Linked DNA regions of Ovis aries. The protein of the gene in region 1 interacts with the protein of each later gene in a biochemical or structural test. Links are inferred from orthologs where the notes say so. Each region holds a gene or a part of one and is shown on either strand. Other genes may lie near its edges.

The links.
Region 2: the proteins of CTTN (region 1) and ACTR3 form a complex in vitro, tested with the Homo sapiens proteins (3 studies listed by BioGRID). The link is inferred for Ovis aries from reciprocal best matches to the Homo sapiens genes CTTN and ACTR3.

What each region holds. Positions count from the first base shown.
Region 1 is NC_056074.1:43,921,528-43,925,342, forward strand, and holds part of CTTN (src substrate cortactin), read left to right. Parts: intron 1-864; coding exon 865-975; intron 976-1,615; coding exon 1,616-1,670; intron 1,671-2,452; coding exon 2,453-2,563; intron 2,564-3,815.
Region 2 is NC_056055.1:179,038,513-179,042,327, forward strand, and holds part of ACTR3 (actin-related protein 3), read left to right. Parts: intron 1-2,104; coding exon 2,105-2,188; intron 2,189-3,596; coding exon 3,597-3,692; 3' UTR 3,693-3,815. UniProt on the Homo sapiens protein: ATP-binding component of the Arp2/3 complex, a multiprotein complex that mediates actin polymerization upon stimulation by nucleation-promoting factor (NPF).

The DNA.
Region 1 (3,815 bases):
GGGCGCCTGGAGCCGTACTCCGAGGGCTGGGCCTGGGCGACTGCAGCAGCACTGGGCTGCTCAGACTTGAGGCTGTAAATATTCTAGTTTCTTGGCCGCCACAGGGTCTCGGGTGGCTCCTGAACTAGCTGTATTGTCTTAACACAAAGCTAGGCATAGATTTTCTGTAAATGAACAGATGTGGTATGTTCCAGAAAGCTTTATTTACAAAGAACCTCGGTGCTGGATGTGGGCCGCAGGCCTCGGCTTGCTGACCGCACGCCGGAAAGCTCGGGGTGGACTGCTCGGTCAGCATGTGGCCTTGAGAGGTCACCAGACCCGCTTCCCTGACTGGGGGTGGGGAGGCGGTGGCAGGCCCCGCTGCACACGAGGTGGGGAGGCGGTGGCAGGCCCCGCTGCACACGAGGGCGGGCTGGTTGCGTGGCAGGCGTTGACACTCACCGTGTGGTGTGCCTGACGCATGTCCTCTGGGTTCCGGTTTGAGCCCTGATTCCTGGGTCGCATGCTTTGACAGTGTCGCACCTGAGGAGGGTGACCACTCCCGGCAGTCTGCTGGAAGCCGTCTCAGGAGTCGTTGGCAGGCTGCTGGCTCTGGTGCTGGCTGGGGCCTGGCCTCCTGGTTCTTCATGCCCAGGCACCTCAGGAGGCCCACTGTGGCTGGGGTTTGGGCGACTTCTGGGGAGCCTGGTGTGGAGCGGGTTCAGGAACACCTGACTGGGGGCCCTGGCTTGGCGATGCCCCTGGAGTCACCACCCCTGGGCCGGCTTCCATGTGGAGCCGAAGTGCAGGCTGCCTCAGGGTGGGGGTGGGTCCAGGGTGGCGGTGCTGGTGGGCGACTGACGCTCCACTTTGCCCCTGCTCCAGTCAGCCGTCGGCCATGAGTATCAGTCGAAGCTCTCCAAGCACTGCTCGCAGGTTGACTCCGTCCGGGGGTTTGGAGGCAAGTTCGGCGTCCAGGTGGACAGAGTGGACCAGGTAAGTGAGGTGTCGTGGGCAGCCGGCCCCACCTTGTAGATTGAGGTCGCTCCAGGTGTCCTCTGGGCGTCTCGGAGTGGCGCGGAGGTGCCTCGGACTGTGGGGATGCAAGGTGGGGGCCCCGAGCACAGGCTCCTAAGGCCCCTCCCGCCCCCACCTTCGCAGATGCTCTGAGATGATTGGCTGTTTAAGAGGCGAGAGGGTTTTCCCGGTATAGAAACCCCCATGTTGGTGCCTGCTTATCGAGTGGCCCTGAGATGGCCTTCGATGTGTCCCGGGGGACGGTGGGGACTCCCTGTCCCTGCTTGTGTCACAGTGACAGAGGGCCCCCCTCACACCCACCTCCAGGGCTGGGCTGAGCATCTGATGCTGTTCCTCTGGTCTGAGGCCCTGGCTCAGGGCCGGCAGCCCCTCACTTTATGTCGTAGCATTGAGAACTGCCTCGCTCATTGGCTGGGGCGGCCCCTGGCCTTCAGTGTTTCAGGGTGTGCAAATTCAAAATGCTGGTGCTTTGGGCATTAGTAGCTTAGTAAATTAAAAAATCAAAAAGTACCAGTAACGTGGTTCGTGTTTCTTTAAAACGTCGCGTGTTGTGGGTCCAGCCATTGAGATCTCCACCTTCTCTTTTCCGTGACTGCAGTCTGCCGTGGGCTTCGAGTACCAGGGGAAGACCGAGAAACACGCCTCGCAGAAAGGTGAGATGGGGAAGGTGCAGAAAGCCCCCCGCTTTTGAAGGGCAGGAGCGCGTCGTCCCTCGCGGCCTCATCCGGAGGGGCGGGACACTGCCCTCCCCTCAGGCTTCTGTGGTGTGGCGGGGCCCCGTCAGGGGGCGCGCTGGCCTGGCGTCTTGTGTCTCCTCGTGGCCTCCCTCCTCTGAGCAGCATTGCCTCGGGCACAGTTCGCTCTTAAGCTAGGTCGGCAAAGCAGACTTTCCCCTTAGGATAGTGACCAGAGCCGTTTCGTTGCTGATGTTTGCACAGTGTGCGAGCTGTCTTGAACACGGTGCTGGCTGGTCTTCATGAGCTCGCGCTCACTTGTGAGCCTTTTTTGAAATGAAAGTACATCACTTCCTCAAAGCACTCGAGGTGTTTTTTGCGAGCTTGTTTGCTTACGCCTCTTGCAGGGCATCCGATGACCAGGGAAGTAGCCGGCCTGGGAGCGCTCTAGGAGTCCACCCAGCCCAGGGTGTTGGCGGGCTCCGGTCTTTTCTAGAAAGACCCACATAGCCATGTCCCTTTCTTCATACGCTGAGCTTTGTTTGAATGGTTACTTTCCAGAGTGCACCGGTGGCTCACCTCTGCCCTCCAGCTGTCGGAAGGGGCCAGGCTGCAGGGACACGAGACGGCACGCGCGTCCCGTCTGATGGCGGGTGGCTCCTGGTGCTGCCTCACAGGCACTTTTGTCTCCTGGGGCACTGCTGCCCGGCGCTTCTCTCCCGCTTTTCACCAGAGGCATCTTGCCCACCCTGTCTCCCCAGACTACTCGAGCGGTTTCGGTGGCAAGTACGGCGTGCAGTCCGACCGCGTGGACAAGAGTGCCGTGGGCTTCGACTACCAGGGCGAGACGGAGAAGCACGGGTCGCAGAGAGGTGGGCGGGCGGGCGGCCGCTGCGCACCCCACAGACTGTCGGGCGCCCGCGGCCCCTCGTCGCTCATGGGTTTACTGACACCAGCCAGGGAGCGCCCTCTCCCCGTGCCAGCTGCTTTATGTTTTGGTTATACAGCTCTCTTAACCCGAAGTGTTTGGACAGCCCTGCTCTTCCCTGGTTGGTGTGGGGGCTTGTCGTCGTTTCGATGACCGCACAGTCCTCCGCTGTACGAAGACGGCGTAGTCCCTGAACTGTTCCTCTCTGGAAGGTGGAGTTGAGCGTATCTCCACTTCCGGATGTTAAGAATTGCCTACCGTGAATATTCTTGTCTTTATGTCTTACGTACAAGAGTGATTATTTAAGATAAGTTCTAGCATTGGAATTGCTGAGTCGAAGGATGTTGAACTTAACATTTTGCTGGATGCTGCCAGGTTGTCCTTAGCAGCCAGCCTGAGCCTCCCTTCATCGAGGTGCCCCCTCTTGGAGGTCAGTTATAGCCCTCTGCCCACTGAGGTGCGTGTGTATGGAGTTGGACGCATAGTCTCGACCCCTGCTGCAGAGGTGGAGACTGGCTGGTTCTTCTGTATGCTGTGTTTTATCTGGCCTGTGCATTCAGGTTTTTGAATCACTGGCAACGTAGAAACAGAGCTCACAAAACCACCACTGGCAGCACCCGTGAGTGGGCGTCTCTCCGAGGGAGGGGCTGCTAAACCTGAGAGTGTCGCTTCCCATTTGCCCGAGGGCCTGCCTGTGCTGGGCCGCCCCTCCCTGTGTGGGGAACACACCCGTCCGCCTTTGCCCTGTGTGCACATGCTCAGCAGGACCTCCTGTTGGACCCTGTTCATTCTGCCAGACTTTCTCCCCAGATGCCCTTGCAGAATAGCTCCGCCTCCAGGAAGCTGGGGAGCAGAGGCCGAAGCGCCTGGAGCAGCGCAGGTGTCCTTGGCAGCTCTGGGCCTACTCAGGCGGGGTTGAGTCCCTGCTCATGGGTCTGTGGCGGAGCCTGCTGTGTGTAAAACAGCTATGTAGTATTTATAGGCACTTAGCCTTGAGCGGAACTTGAGTTGATGCTGTTTCTTTGGAGGTGGCCCATCTCGCCTCTGCTGTAGTTGAGGAAGCAGGCTGACTTAGTGTTTGTTTTATTTATGGCCGCCCTTCTTGCTCTGTGCAGTCTTTCTCTATTTGCGGTGAACAGGGCCTGTTCTTGGTTGCGGCTCACGGGCTTCTCGTCGCGGTAGCATCTCCTGTTGGG
Region 2 (3,815 bases), on another chromosome or scaffold:
TTACTCAGTAGTTATAAAATGGATCTTTATAACGTCTTTATATATCTGTATTTAAATCTTGCTTTTTTTTCCATCAATCCAATTTAAATGACAGTCAAATAGCGTTTTTTTAGTAACAAAAAGCCGTATCTTTTTGTGATACATAAATTAAAAAAATTTTTTTTATACCAAAATAATTTCATAAGGTAAAACTGTTGGCAAATTCTAGTGGAATTCCTATATATTCTTCTCCTAGATTTCCAAATTTTAACATATTTGCTTTATTTTTCTATTTTTATAAATATATCCATGTATACAAATAGACACATGTATCTTCCTGAATTATTTGAGAGTGAGTTTCAAATATAGCCTGTTACCCCTAAATGTTAGTGTATATATTTCCTAAAAACAGGCCATTACAATTATCAAAACCAAAATATATATATATATATTTTTTTTCTAGTCTAGGGTTCAGTCCAAGATCATATGTTTGAATTTGGTTTCATTTCCCTCTTGTCTGGAAAAAGTAGTCTTTTTTTTTTTTGTCTTTTATAACTTCAGTATTTTTGAAGACTACAGGAAATTTATTTTGCAAGCTGTTTCTCAGTTTGGGTTTGTCTGATATTTTCTTATGATTAGGTTCAGATAATGCATTTTTTGCAGTAATAGTACAGAAGTGGATGTTGTATTCTTTTTACTGCATTGGATTGCCAGATGCATGATTTGTTTTATGTTAAGTTTGATCACCTGGTTAAGTGTGTCAGGTGTCTCTATTATAAAGTTATTGTTTTTTCCTTTATATTTAATAAGAATCTTATAGGATGATACTTTCAGATTATGTGTAACTGTCTTGTTTTTCATCAAAGTCTCAGCCACTGCTTATAGCATCATATTTTGTTATTGCTGTGGTAGTTGCCAAATGGTATTTTGCAAATTCCATTATTTCTTCTTTGTTTCATAGTCTCATTTTACTGTAAGAAAGAATATGTTTTTCCCCCTTATTCATTCATTAATATCCCTGAATTCCTGATTTCTCAGTTATTCTCTAGGTGCTATCATTAATATTATGATATAACATATCATTAGTACTATTATTAAGTTTGATGCTCAGACTTTCTCATATTTGACTAGTAAGAATCCTTCAGAGGTGGCTTTTATTCCTTTTGTTGTCGCCCCAGTATTCTGCAGGTACATCCTAACTTTCTGAAATAGCAAGATATTGCAAGTTCATCTTGTACTTTCTCTTCTCCAGTCTTGAAATCAGCCATTTTATTTCAAGGCACCCTTGTTCTTTTTAGTGGAGAATGCTTTTCTTGTCTTATACATAAAATAGACAAGCAACAAGGATTTTACTGTATAGCACAGGGAATTATATTCAGTATCTTATAGTAACCTCTAATGGAAAATAATCTGAAATCTATCTATGTATCTATACAGATATGAATTACTTTGCTGTACACCCAGAAACTAACACAATATTGTAAACCAACTGTACTTCAATTAAAAGAAACCAAGATTTGGACACTAGATATATATTCAGTTGTTACTGAGGGGTCAGGGCAGCTAGGCCTTGTTGGCAGTCAGATGTAGTATGTGTGTGTATGCATATAAATCTAGCTCTCTGTATAACCTAAAAACTACAGATTCATACTGATAATAGAAGTTCCAGAGTACTGTAAGGTTCATTCTAGCCTTATACCTTCCCATATTTGTAATGCTCTTCTCTGATGGTAAGGAACCAGCCTTATGTTTGTTGTTTGCTCAGTCCTAGAATACATATATAGTAGTTTCAGAATTATTGATCCATGCCACTGTGAGACATAGGCTGACTAATGAGAGTTCAGTGTTTGCTTAGTTTTTAACTTAACCCTGAGGGCGTAGTCCTAATACTGTGTTCATGGGTTACCTGGATTAGTTCTTTTCCCTTTACTGTGGTTATATTTTTTTAAAACAAATAATAAAATTAGCTTAATTTGTTTCTGTTACATTGTTTTGCCCTATGTACACCCCCACCTCCACATCTTTGTTTGTTTATTTATTTTTGAGTGTGTACAACTAAGGTTAAATAATACAGGAATTGTTATATGAGTTTACCATTGAACTGATCTTACTATATCTTTTACAGCCGAAACCTATTGATGTACAAGTCATTACACATCACATGCAACGATACGCAGTTTGGTTTGGAGGATCTATGCTGGCTTCCACAGTAAGTGAGATGAAGCTTACTTTAAAATTTGACTTTTTTGTTTTAAAGATGAAATAATTTATCAACTTAAACAATTTAGAGCAACAGAGAAATTTCTTAAGTTTTTATGTAATATTGCACAGCAAAGTTTTAAAATTGGACACACATAAACATAGTATTTTTGAAAAGTGGAATTCATTTGGACTTACTGGTTTTTTGGGGTGGTTTTTTTGTTGTTGTTGATCTTGCTAGACATTTTTTGAGTGAGCACTTCTTTTTAAAATTTATTTAATGTAGTATTTTTGGCTGTGCTGAATCTTCATTGCTGCATGTGGGCTTTTTCTAGTTTTAGCAACTGGGGGCTGTTCTTCATTGCAGTGTGCAGATTTCTCATTGTGGTAGCTTCTTTTGTTGCAGAGCATAGGCTTAAGTCTGTAGTAATACAGGTATCAGAAGGTCATTGTTTTTTCTGTACAAATATTTTAAAATATTAAGAGTTACCATATAAGAAGTATGATGTTCTAAACTGAGTCAAGGGAATTAATAAGTTACCTCTCCCAAACCAAAACATCTTAAAGTCCCTTTGAAAGATACTTTAAATGTTAACATCCTTTGCCTAGTAAATAGTGGTGTTCTATCCTGTAGTACATGGAGAAGGAAATGGCAACCCATTCCAGTATTCTTGCCTGGAAAATCCATGGACGGAGAAACCTGGTGGGCTACAGTCTGTGATGTCGCAAAGAGTTGTACACGACTGAGCGACTTCACTTTTTTAGCTTTATCTTGTAGTACACAGTATAAAATAAAATGTAAGAAATTTATTTGAATTATTGAAAACTATACAACCTTGGATTTCAGTAAAAGCATTTAAAAATAAGAGGTAAAAGTTATTTTCTTCCTTAATTTGAATTGTCTTCATTTGTGAAGTCTCTGTCACCTCGTTGAGTGTGTAACTTTCCCCTTGAAGAAATGAGGTGATAGACTATGGAACAGTCTGTCTATACCAGACCTTCAGTGAGGAAAGCAAGTTCATCTAGAAGTTTTTGGAGCATGACCTAGAATATATCACCTGTAACTTATATGAATGCTGCTGCTTTTCTTGTTTCAGTGTACAGTGTGGGAAAGCCACAACAGAATAGTTGGGCATTTGAGACTCAACCTTCCATTCCATTCAGTTTTTTCAAAATTGAAAAATTTCAGGAGAAACAGATGTTGAGGAGGGGAATTGAAGAGACTTTTGTCAAATGCTCATTTTCAGTTTTGGTTATAGACTTGTAGCTGATTTTGAGTCACAGTTGCTAGAATTTCAAAGCTTTGTTCAGCTACCATGAATGGACTGATAAACGTTTTAGATTTAACATATTTATCTTAAAGCATGTCGAAAAGTGTTACATTTTTGACCTTTCCAAAAATCTGTTTTTATTTTCAGCCTGAGTTCTACCAAGTATGCCACACCAAAAAGGATTATGAAGAAATTGGACCTAGCATTTGTCGTCACAATCCAGTGTTTGGAGTCATGTCGTAAAATTGGCTTCATAGTTATTGGGGTTAGGGAGGTGGGGAAGAAATAGTCTTTCTGATTACCTGTTTTGTCTGGATGGCTGGTTTTAAACCTGACTTGAAATAATAAGACCAAACATTAATTATA